2 linked regions of the Caenorhabditis elegans genome follow. The protein of the gene in region 2 purifies or fractionates together with the protein of the main gene of each other region. This does not show direct contact. Each region holds a gene or a part of one and is shown on either strand. Other genes may lie near its edges. The genes, in order: wdr-5.3 and utx-1.

Evidence for each region.
Region 1: the proteins of utx-1 (region 2) and wdr-5.3 purify together in Caenorhabditis elegans (affinity purification with mass spectrometry, with the first as the bait; one study listed by BioGRID). This does not show direct contact.

Annotation. Positions count from the first base shown.
Region 1 is NC_003283.11:10,735,399-10,740,147, reverse strand, and holds wdr-5.3 (WD repeat-containing protein wdr-5.3), read right to left. Parts: upstream 3,033-4,749; 5' UTR 3,031-3,032; coding exon 2,899-3,030; intron 2,857-2,898; coding exon 2,239-2,856; intron 2,196-2,238; coding exon 1,735-2,195; intron 1,680-1,734; coding exon 1,571-1,679; intron 1,223-1,570; coding exon 1,037-1,222; 3' UTR 827-1,036; downstream 1-826. Other genes in the region: ZC302.3 (uncharacterized protein), read left to right, coding at 406-515, 560-646, 695-826; Double-strand break repair protein mre-11, read left to right, coding at 3,481-3,558, 3,614-3,684, 3,732-3,836, 3,886-4,678, 4,726-4,749. UniProt on the Caenorhabditis elegans protein: Not required for methylation of histone H3 'Lys-4'.
Region 2 is NC_003284.9:8,555,261-8,563,266, forward strand, and holds utx-1 (JmjC domain-containing protein), read left to right. Parts: upstream 1-1,890; 5' UTR 1,891-1,919; coding exon 1,920-1,985; intron 1,986-2,037; coding exon 2,038-2,114; intron 2,115-2,167; coding exon 2,168-2,494; intron 2,495-2,543; coding exon 2,544-2,664; intron 2,665-2,996; coding exon 2,997-3,137; intron 3,138-3,191; coding exon 3,192-3,464; intron 3,465-3,580; coding exon 3,581-3,700; intron 3,701-3,844; coding exon 3,845-3,977; intron 3,978-4,668; coding exon 4,669-4,853; intron 4,854-4,900; coding exon 4,901-5,125; intron 5,126-5,553; coding exon 5,554-6,426; intron 6,427-6,481; coding exon 6,482-7,071; intron 7,072-7,119; coding exon 7,120-7,308; intron 7,309-7,492; coding exon 7,493-7,613; 3' UTR 7,614-7,975; downstream 7,976-8,006. Other genes in the region: dhhc-14 (Palmitoyltransferase), read left to right, coding at 1-46, 465-635.

The sequences.
Region 1 (4,749 bases), on a different chromosome or scaffold from region 2:
TTCCATTCTTCATAGAAACGCGCTCTACAGCCAATTGAAAACGCTCTGCCCCCAGAATGATGGATCCCGTTAGGTATTTAATGGCAAAACGGTGAAAAATATAATTCCTTCAAAAAAACCTTATTCACCTTTTCAATTTTTCAATTTGCATTTTCATTTCTTTAAAACATTATTTCGGCCTAAAAACTATTAGAAACAACGGGAAAAATAGCAAAACGATGAAAAACGCTTGAAATTAGAGAAAAAATTGAAAACGTTTGAACTTCTGGGTTTCCCGCCAATGCCTAACGAGACCAATGGTTCAAGGGCGGAACTTATTGAAGTGGCCGTGGAGCACGATTTCAAAAGGGGCATTTTTCTGCGTCTCCATAATAAACATTTTGAACCAAGAAACACTATTTTCAGAGTACTGGAATTGTCGTAAAACCGCATCCAATTCTCATTATGAACAACGATCACTAATTTATTTGGATCGGGTTGTATCTCTACAAACTGAGTATCTAAACTACAAAGCGGTAGGAATGTCGAAAAATTATTCTAAAAATCTTAGAATTTTAAGAATCGAAACGACTCTCGATCTCCATCACAACTTGTGAAAAAGATCAAGGATGCCACTATGAAAGCAGAAGCTTACGAGTTTTTTATGGTAATTGCCCTTTGCATTTTACTAGATTTTGAATATGTTTAACTTCAGGACGATAAAAGAGTTCGGAAAGTGATCGGTGAACTGAATGAGATCGACTCAAAATTCAAAGAGAACATTGGAGCATGGCTCCTACAACAACTGAAAATCGATAGTTCATTGAGCCATTTATTGTCAACATAGTACAAAATAGAAATAGTATATTCCTTGAATAAATATTTAGTAATGTGATGAGGAGGAGATCTGAATTGATATCGAACCTTAAAATATGCTACAAGAAAAGACAACCGAGATCATATTTCAGTTGATGAAAGAAACGGGGAAAATAAAAAACCATGATACAAATGAAAGAGTTTGAAAGTGCAGTCAGTGCTATTTTCTATATTTTTAATTCTAGTTTCGACGCCAGATTCTAATAACGTTGTCGGGCTCTAGTCCACCAGAAGCAATGATGTTGAGTGTTGGATGAGAATCCGTTGCCAAAACGGGAGTAGTATGACCTTCCAATATTTGTACGATTTGTTTTGTTTGAATACTCCATACAAGTATACGTCCATCTTCAGAACCACTGATGATATGCTGGAAATTGGGGCTTTGTTGTACGGAAATTCTTTTTAACAAAATGGACATATTTTTCAAAAAGTTGAACGTTCGAAGCTGACTAGATCTACACAAAATTACTATTTAAAGAATGGTGAAATTTTTTTATTTAAAAATTTATGGCCGGTCAGAATTAGAAAAAAAAACGTCAAATTTCGTTATTTAAAGTCCGAAATTTCGCCCATTTATACTTGTTACAGTAACCAAAAATTTGGATTCTAATTGAGTTATCATTATATATTGCATATGTCGGCCGTTTATCTATTTTATTTGTCTTTGTGGCCCAGGCTTAGTCTTCGACACTTTCAAGATCTTTAAAAAATTTACCTTTCCAAGTGGGACCGACATGTTTGCAAAAAGGCAATATTTTTTGTTTTTATGACCGTTGTAATATTTCAATGGTTTCGCCTTTTTTGGATCCCATAGCTTGAGACTGCTGAAAAACAAACAATTATTCACTTTTCCATATGTTACTTCATATTATTTTTTACCTGTCAAGTTGCGCCGATAGCAAATATTTTCCATTTGGTGAGAAGCATACAAAAGTAACGGGGGCATGATCTGTATCGACAAGTGTCTTTAGACAGGAACCACTAGCTGCATCCCATACACGAATACATCCATCATATGATGAAGTAGCCATTGTATTTCCATCGTGATTGTACGATATAGATGTAATTGGATCCGAATGAGCAGGAATACATTTAACACAGAGTCCAGTTTTGAAATCCCAAACACGAACTGTTTCATCAAATCCAGCAGATGCGATCAATGATGATTGAGGGTTGAAACTGCAGCAGAAGACATAATTAGTATGACCACGCATTGTTCTTAGACAAGCTCCACTGATAACATCAAATATCTTGACAGTAGTATCATCAGAAGCTGATGCTATGAACTGACTATTGGAACTCCATGAAAAATCGTTTATTCCTAGTTGATGACTGGCGAGCTGAAATAAAATACATAACAGCTGCATGAAAAAGCCTACTTACAGTTTGCAAGTACGTCATGTCAACGGTGTTCCATACTTTTATTTGCTTGTCAGCTGAACCAGTTCCGAGATACTTTCCGCAATACGAAAACTTTATCACAGATACAGACTTAGTATGTCCCGAAATCGTTTTTACTAGCGAAAATTCACCATTTTCAGGCTTTTTGGTGATTCCAGAAGATGATGTCGTAGGTGCGACTGGGTCACGTGGAGGTGCAACTTGAATGGTGGATGTAGGTTTTGTAGTGATAGAAGGAGCAATCGGACCTGTCGTTCCCTCCGCAGATTTCGTTCGGACTGAAACTTCTGATGGATTTCCTTGAGAAGTTGTTGAGCCGGCAAATTGCGGAAAGAATCCGGGAGGTCCCAAAAGTCCGACGGGTGATACTTGAACACGATGTGGCGTAAAACCTGGTGGTGGTGGAGGGTAGATCACTTGTTGCGGTAATCCAAACGGCTGCTGGAATGCTATTGCTAATGGGTGAAATTGTTGTTGATGCGATTGATATGGATAGCCTGGTGGATTTGGATGTGGTGATTGATTTGATGGAGGGCGCGCAGTTTGAGGAACTCCGATTGGCGGTGTTGCTACTGCATTATAGTGATTCCAAGCTGCAACCTGATATTTCTCAGTCTAAACAATGAATAAAATCTGACTCACTTTTTGAAATGCATCTGGAACAGCTTGATTGGATTCCAACATGCGAGATTGTAGACTCTGTTGATTTGGCGTAGGAACAGGCTGAAACGGCACATTTTTCGGCGATATTGTTTCCTGCCGCTCGGGATTCATTTCTGCAATATAGAAAATGAATATTAAAAAGTGATTTATTCAAATCTGGTCAGCAATTGAATAAGAATAATAAGTGCGAACTGATGAAAATACTGAAATGACAGCCTATTTTGCAAACAAAAACGTTTTGGCGCCGAGTTTATATGTTGTTCGAGAGGAGTACATTCTCAGAATAATGTCGGCCACGGGAAAGGTTTCTAGGCCAATTCAAGTTTTCACGCGCGCAAACTATTTTTTCAAACTCATTTTTCAGTTTAAAGTCCGAAAATATAACTCTCTCACTGTAGAACGTATTTTCATAAGGTAAAATTCTTCCGGAAATAGAAAATTGCAAAAAATGCTAACGTTTGGTAGCGCTATGCCGCTAAATATTTCTGAAACATAAAGTTTCTTGTTAAATTTCGCAATTTTACAAATCGTTAACATTTATTCAATATTTCTTTCAGAGCCATGTGTGGCAGTGATGACAGTTTTGACGACTTTGTACCAGATAGTCAAGAGCCAGCATCTTCGCGTACCCGAAATCAGGTATTAAAAAAATTATTTTTAAAGATTAAAAAAAAAGTGAATGTCAATATTTTAGGATCATCTCGACGATGACGAGGTTCCCTGCTCACAAAGGCCAGATGCTGCCAACGACACTATGGTTGAAGAGTACGTTGTTTTGATTTTGACGAAAATATCACAAACATTTATTTCAGTCTCGACGAGGGAGACGAGCCAGCTCATGACGAATCTGAGGACATCATCAAAATTCTCGTTGCCACTGATATTCATTGCGGTTATGGAGAAAATAAAGCCAACATGTGAGTTTTATTGGAACATAAAGTCTCAAAAAAAATATCAAATTTTCAGTCATATGGATGCCGTCAACACTTTTGAAGAAGTGCTTCAAATTGCCACTGAACAAAAAGTCGATATGATTTTACTTGGAGGAGATCTTTTTCATGAAAATAATCCATCTAGAGAAGTTCAACATCGTGTTACACAATTGCTCCGTCAATATTGCTTGAATGGGAATCCAATCGCGTTGGAGTTTCTCTCAGATGCTTCTGTCAATTTTAATCAAAGTGTGTTTGGTCACGTGAACTATTACGATCAGAATTTGAATGTCGGTCTTCCAATTTTCACAATTCATGGAAATCATGATGATCTATCAGGAAAAGGACTTACTGCTCTTGATCTTCTTCACGAATCTGGACTTGTAAATCTGTTTGGAAAGCACAGCAACATTCAGGAGTTTATTGTTTCACCAATTTTGCTTAGAAAAGGAGAAACTCGTTTGGCGTTATACGGAATTGGAAGTCAAAGAGATGATCGTCTTGTTCGAGCATTCAAAAATAATAGTATTTCATTTTTGCGGCCAAACGCTGGCGCCGAGGATTGGTTTAATTTGTTTGTCCTCCATCAAAATCGTCCACGGAGAGCCATGCACCGATCGACAGGAAACTTTCTTCCCGAATCTCTGATTCCTCAATTCTTTGACCTTCTTATTTGGGGACACGAACACGAATGTAAACCTGATCCTCAATATGTTGCTTCATCGGAAGCTGTTGGTGATGGATTTTACATTCTTCAACCAGGATCGACTGTTGCTACTTCGCTCACTCCGGAAGAAGCCCTGCAGAAAAATGCATTCCTAATAAAGGTATAAGATTTAACGATTTTAATTTAAATATAACTATCGGTTTTTAGATTAAAGGAAGAAAGTTTGCTTCA
Region 2 (8,006 bases):
GCACGCACTCATGCTTGCCGTGCTGTTCTGTGTTCAAATGAACCAGGTAAATATTTCATGAATCAGGCAAATATTTTTCCTATTAGTATTGTATGCAATACTATTTTTGATAGTTTAAATTTAGTTCGAGATTACCTATTTTCAAATGAAACAGCTATTGTGTTAGGTGACGATTTAAAAAAAGTTGTTAAAAATAAATTAATTATTGACGTTTTTTTTGTTAATTGGTTGTTAGGAGTTTTATTATACATAGAAGACAATTGAACTGCAAATAATGAAAATCTTTGAAATTGGCATTTCCAACAAAATTAGGATTGCTAGAGACTTGAACACAAATTTTCGTGGACACATTTAAATGCGTTATTGATAGCAACAGCCACATTACTAATAGAGAACATTCGGTAATTCAATTTTAGAAATTATTCATTCTTGTTACAAAAAATTAAATACAATAATTATTATAGATCTCGCAAGGAGTGACGACCAACGATCGTATCAAAGCTCGCCGAGCTGGTCATGCCCATTCTCACTCCGGCTCCACTGACTACAATGTTATTCATCACAAGCCAAGCATCTCGAAACGGTGTCATAATCTTCTGGAATTCTTTTCCTCTAACGGCGATCCAAACTGGTGAAAATACAAATTCGGATTTTATCTTCATCGGACCTGAAAAACTTGCCCTGCTCCCCGGATTTTTCAAACTTGAGAATCAAAACTTTTCTATGGCATAACAAATCTATCAATAAAAAACAAAATACTTGTAAATGTGAATCAGAAACCTAAATTTAAATTTCATCCCCGCCCATTCCCCCATTCACAATCTACTCTTTTTCATTTTCTTTCAGTTTTACATGAGATACTTCACTTGTATAATTTGGTTGTGAAAAGATTTTAAATGCTCTCTATCTCCCTTTTTCCCTCTTTCATTTCCTTTTTTGTTAAACTTTTTGTACATTCCGGTTAGAATCAAGTGCTTGGAGATATTTGAAGTTTTCCATCAGTTTTCTTACTTTGCTCTTCTCTCTTGCGTATTTCCGAGATCTCTTTTTCTTTACTGTTTTCCTAGATGTAAATAAATTTTCTTGAAATTAAACAAGAACTCAGTTTGTGTTGTCCAAAATCTTGGATTGTAACTTTTTTTTCCAGCGGTCTTCCTGTTGTTAATCTCAAAAAGCTCAGGTTTTAAAGTAATAACTTCTACAACAAGATCCACAATAATGTACTGGTTGCTCTCAAACAAAGTGGATCAAAAACTTAATGTGAAAAAGACATTTCAAAAAACTATAAAGATACCAAAGTTCTATTACTATTGGCAATATTGTTCAAGATTTGTGTTAGTTTTTTATTTACATATTTTTGAAGAATAAAGCAGAGTAGCTTGACAATATTCTTAGCATGGAATTTTTCATAACTCATGTTCTCTCGATTTTACAAATTTCTGAATGAGATTCAGTTCCACTTTGTGCGGTATTGCGAAATCTGCATATATTCACCCTTTCCACAAATTGCCCCCTGACGACCCCAATCCATACTTGCGCACACCATCGACCCACTCCTTGTCCGCCCAAGCGTTTCTAACCGTCTGCGCGTCCGTATACCGAGCACTACCTCTCCATTTCCCCCTCCACCATTCGCCAAACAGGCACAGTAGAGACGGGCTGCGAACGCACGGCAATGGCAACGATACTCCGTTTCTAACGTTGATCTTTGTTTAATAAACCATACTATTTGAATTAAGACACAGTATTGACCAGTTCACAGTGCTCTAATTGATTTTTTGTGCTTATTTTCTTTGTCAAAACTTGATTAAGATTTCTCCAAGTTATGTTTCCTACAATTCTCTTATGTGTATGTATTTTATTATTACTAAATCGCTGCAGTTTTTCCAGATTTGTATAATTCCCAAAAAGTCTTGTGCATGAACACCGTATCGCTTCTCACACCGCCAATGGACGAATCAGAACCTCTGCCGGAGGAGCGTCATGTAAGGATTACTTGTTTTTAGTGCGCAAAAGTTAAATTTTCTCATTTTTCAGCCTGGAAACTTTAAAAAATGGCTGGAACTGCCCCTTCTGACAAATTATGAACTGGAAAGGATTCGCACATTAAGCAGGTTGAAAAATTGTCACAAGATTGCAATAAAGTAAATATTTTTTTAATTTTCAGTTTATCATTCGACGAGTTTCACGTTCAAAACCCAGCCGATCTCACTTATCAAGTCAGATTGTTCTTTGCAAAAGCCCGCCAATACCTTGTCAGATATGTGGATGAGATGAAGAGCATTTATAAAACGCACAAGTACAAGACAATCGAACGGCGCATTTTCTACGGATTGGCGAAACAGTGTCACGTTGTTCTTTTGGCAAATGATTGGACCGGAGCACTGGAGCTTTATCAAGAAGTGTTGAGCCATCATCCTGACCTATTCTCACATGATCCTTCGATGTACTTCGGGTTAGGTCTTGTCTACTTGCATTTCAAACAGTGGAAACCGTGAGTTTTTGTTTTTTTGTTGTGAATAATCTGAAACAAAATCTTCTAGTGCAATCGAGGCATTCACAAGACTGCTATATAGTTTTCCAACCGGTATGATCGCATTGCAAGCAAAAGTTCGTCTTGGAGTGTGTTACATGGAACTTGAAGATTACAACAGATGCATAAATGTAAGTATTAAGAAAACGATCTGAAAAAGTTATAAGTTGAGACATAAAAAAAACAAGTTTTAATTGCATTCAATGCGTTATTAAAATTTGTAGTGTTTCTACAATCTTTCTTAATTAAACTTTTGGTAAGTCTTACCATCAGCTTTCTCGAGCAAACTGGCAGTTTTCCCACAACTAGTTGTGGAAAATTAGCTAGATACTCTACAAAGCTAGATCAAAAGACCGAGAATACGCATGCTTTTGCAATAAAAAGCTATACTCCAGAAACTTTACAATGCGTAAAATTTCGTAAAATCTTTTCAGTTATTTAATAAACTTATTATATTTTACAGCTGTTCAAACTTGCCGTCAACGACAGTGATGAGTCAGTATTTATGCCGAAATTCACAATTAAGTACAACATTGCTCTGAGCCACGAGAATAATGATGAGCTTGAAATTGCAGAATCAGAATATGAAAACCTAATAACTGAAGTGAGTAGTATCACCAAACAATGTTAAAAACAAAAAAAAATCGAATAATTTCAGTTAACACAACACATCAGTTTCTTACAAAGCAAGTCGAATGTGGATCAACAACAAGTTGACTTATTGATAAGTGTGAAAGCAGCATGTTTGCGACAAATTGGCTGGATTTCATATCGCCGCTCTTATAAAGACGATGCAAATCGTCTGGATCATTTGAAGAAGGCCCAAGAGAATCTCATTAGTGCACATGATACAGATCCACGAGATGGACAAAGCTACTACTATCTGGGACGAGTCTACGGGGAACACGAGCCTAGTGTTAGTGGACAAGTGGTTTGTGTTCATTTTGTTCCTTAACAATCTTAAAAAATAACTTGTTTTATTTCTATTAACCTCTAATTTTCAAAAAAAAACGTTAGGAAAATAATTTAATTCTTCCTGAATTTAAGGCACACGATGCGTTTGTCAACTACCGGTTTTCGATTGACAAAAAAGAGCAGAATGCGGACACGTGGTGCTCAATTGGAGCTCTGTATCAGCGACAAAATCAACCCATTGATGCTCTTCAGGTATGTTCAGGAATCAAAATTAGAGTTTTTGGAAACAATGTGCACAGTGTGCAAGATCAGAGCAATTCTCAAAACAATGGCGTATGCCCACCCCAATCTTTCCAATAAATGCCTCCAATTTTTAATATATTGAACACGTTTTAGGCATTCATATGTGCAATTGAGCTGAATTCAACACATTCTGCGGCATGGACAGATCTCGGAGAGCTTTATGAGAAAAATGCCCAGTACCAAGATGCGCTGGAGTGTTTCAAAAATGCAATGCTGAACAATCCAGGTATGTTGATGGTTTCCTGAAAGAAAAAGTAGAAGAATATAAATAAATTATAACTTTTCTGGAAAAACCAAATTGAAATTTCTATCAAAAAATGTTGTGAATGAATCAGTTTCAATATGATTTTCTTCATTTCTTATCAGCCAATGATACTTGCCTGTCTATAGTAGAATGGGTGTCGCTAAATTTGCTATCGCCAAACATTGAATGTAAACTTAAACGAAAATATAAGAGAAATGAAAGGATATAACAGAAGCACAACTAATCTGCTTAATCTCTAGTCACCAGATAAAATTTCCACGTGATTGGAAAATATATTTAAAGGAAGTATGACAACATTTATGACAACGACTGAAAAATGTTTAAGAAAAAAACCAAGTTGTTTCAATTGTAATGGTCTTTTCTAAGAAAGCTCTGATAACAAACAACATTCATTTTGAAATTAGCAATACACACTGTAAGTGTTTCCAAGTTGAAAATGTTTAATAAAATAGAAGACGTGACAAATGAAACGCAGTATCCATTAAAAAGAGAAACAATATATTTCATTGCAGTTTTGAGTTTTTCAAGTTTTAGGAAGGTGAGCTTGTAAATGTAGGTTAAATGTAAAGCTAGAGGCTGTTTTGAGTGAGTAGTAGTAATTAACGATTTCAGATTTTTTAAAGAACAAACTAATGTTATCATGACATTTCAGTTGCTCCGGAACCAATCAAAGCTCGTGTACAATTTCTTGAAAAAGAACTCTCGATGCCTGTGCCCGCACGTCCCTCAAATCACGCCTCGTCATCAACATTTGAAACCGTGATACCTTCATTGAAAGAAGCTTATGAGCAGCCAATACCTCTAGAGCTTCGTAATCGTCAAGACGCTGCCTATGCTGTAAGTGATTGTTGTCATGTGCGTTTTTTTGAAACCACAATTTTTAGGACAGAGAAGCTCAGTATGACAACGCGTTTTGGGATCTTTGGGAAGATTTCAGAACAATGGAGCATGAAAAGCCGGAAGATATGGAATGGGATGTAACGTATCCAAGGCCAATGGAAGATCTCGAAATCCAGGTTATGCAGTTGCTTCGTGCCAACGAACCAGCTTTAGTAAAAGCTGAGAGAGAAGTTCTTGAGTGTTTGGAAACCAGCGAGGCAGTGTTTAAGGTAATAAGAGCTCAAATAGCTGACAAACACAGGCCAGTGAAAAATGCGAGCAAAAAAGGCCAAACACGGCTTAGAAGTCATACTCTTTTCATTAGTGTATGATAGCTATACATTTATGCCAGTACATCAAGGGAAGTGATGATGCAGTTGCTGCCAGGGCGGCCGCCAGTGTTGCTTCTAACATTAAAAAAGGAAAAAAACGAGAGAATTTCATAGCGTATCTGTTGCACAAATCTCTTGAGTAGACGCAATGAGCCTAATTATAAAGCTTTTCTATGTTCTATTGTCGCATGTAAAATATATTCTGAATAACTGAAGCGTGATCAGAACTGAAAGTTAAAGTTGTGACTCACTTTTTCTGTAATCTGAAACATTTGAAAACCATAGGGATTATTAAATGGTTTATTGAAAAACATTAAATTTTTCAGGCAAAAGTTATTGAATACGTAATTCCGGAAGCCGTTCGTGAAATGCCACGTGTCACCGAGGAAATGATCCAAAACCTTCGCGACCATGGGCATCTACTTGAATCGCCGAGATGCTACAGCTTCCCATTCTTACCGAAAATTTCGTTTAATGACCTTCCGGATAGTTTCAGTTTGCTCTCGGAGCTCTATGTTTCAATGGATATCAGCGCTCAGGAAATTATGCAAATGGTTCATAGAAGAACTCAGCCAAACTCCACATACCTACCAGTGTTTGAAGAATTTGCGAAGTTACCCGAGCCACCACGAGGTCCCGTAAAGCCAATTGTAACAGATGAAGATGTACGCACGGCGCTAGAAAGGAGTGAAAAGCATCCATTAATTCTTAAAACCCCAATTCTTACGGTGGACAATAGGAAGGAAGCTCAAAGTCTGGAATTACAACGGTTTTTGGATGGGTCTACTATTTCTTGTATTCGTGGACTTACTGGTTGCCTTCGCCTCGATTTGTCGCTATTCTCCACGAAAGCAGTGGCAGAAATTGACGGAAACCAAGAAATTGAAATCCGAACTCAGTATCAACTACCACCAGAAACGAACTGTGATCATGCAAGTCAACAGACATGGCAATGTGTCAGTGATCCCTCGTACACAACAGTCAACAAGTATGCCGAGTATCAATCGGAATCGTTCAAGCACACGCTAAAGGGTGAAGCTGAGAAAATCAAGAAAAATGTGGGAGGAACACGTGGACCTTCTCCTAAAAGAATGAAATTGTATAAGCGAGCCAGCTCTCCACCGAAACATCTGAAGTCTATTAAATATGGAACTAATATTGATTTATCTGATGACACTAAATGGGGAAAACAGATCAACGTAAGTTTTTTTATTGCTCCATATTTTAAAACCAAACACAACTGCCGTTTTTCAGGAACTTTCTAAACTTCCTGCTTTTTGTCGCCTCATCGCCGGCTCAAACATGCTCTCCCACTTGGGGCACCAAGTTCACGGCATGAATACTGTTAAGCTTTTCATGAAAGTTCCTGGCTGCAGAACACCAGCTCATCAGGATAGCAATCACATGGCTTCCATCAACATAAACATTGGTCCCGGTGACTGTGAATGGTTTGCCGTTCCATACGAGTATTGGGGAAAGATGCATAAGTTGTGCGAGAAGAATGGCGTTGATCTTTTGACTGGAACATTTTGGCCTATTATCGATGACTTATTAGATGCAGGAATTCCAGTGCACCGTTTCACACAGAAGGCTGGAGACATGGTATATGTGAGTGGCGGAGCCATTCATTGGGTACAAGCTTCGGGATGGTGCAACAACATTTCTTGGAATGTGGCGCCACTCAACTTTCAACAGTTGAGCATCTCTTTGCTCAGCTACGAATACAACAAGCTGCGCCGATTTAAGAGTGAAGTTCCAATGCAATTAATGTGCTGGCAAGTAGCAAAGAATGTCAAGTTTACCAACCAGCTCATCTACAATACTTGCAAAGGTGTATTGATTAGGTGAGTAGCCTAAGAAGAACAATCAAGTTTGTAATAACTTTATTTCAGATCACTTGCATTCCTGAGAATGGTTGCCGATTATATCGTGTCTCAGAAGAAAACCATAAAAGCTCATACTCGAACAAGTGGAGAACAATCCCATTTCTGTATGACGTGCGAGTGTGAAGTGTTTTGTATTTTGTTCGTGAAGGATATTGGCGGAAAGTTTACAGTCTTCTGTGTATACTGTGCTAAATCGTAAGTTTTCAAAATTTTTGAACGTTTTGGGCTTAGAAATGGTTATTTTTTATGCCTAAAAATACAAAAACATTCAACACGTGATTCTGTATATTTTTGAAAAGTTACTTTTAAAAAATACACAAGTACTTGCGGAACCTCACTCAGAATTATAGTGGTTCGAAAAGAAAATGTGATTTTTCAGGCAAGGAATCGAAGGCTTCATAGCTCTTCAGCAGTTCTCGTTCACCGACTTGTACTCAATCTACGACAACATGAAATATATACCCGCAGCTAACAACAATAAGATGAGTTTCACTGCCTAGAAAGTTCTAGTTAGGACGTTTTAATCATTGCATATTTTATTTCACAAACCTGTTCCACTTGATGTGCCTCTCTCCCTCACCCCAAACATTTCCCCGTTTCAATTTTTGGCGAAAGCTCAAAAGGTCTCGTTCACTTATCTCAATCTTCTCAATTAGTTCATTTGTGTCCCTCTTTCGATACACTTCCAAAACTGTGAAAACCCAAATTTTAAACTATTTCCTCAATTTATCTGATCTCCTGTTTATTGTTGAACTTTTTTTTCAAACTGACTGCCATGTTTTACAAAACGTGGGATTGTTAGCTCATGGATTGTTTTTTTATTTCGAGCTTTAATTTTTTCTAAATAAACTGTTGTTTTGATAAACGGAAGTTTTATTAGTATAGAGAAGGCA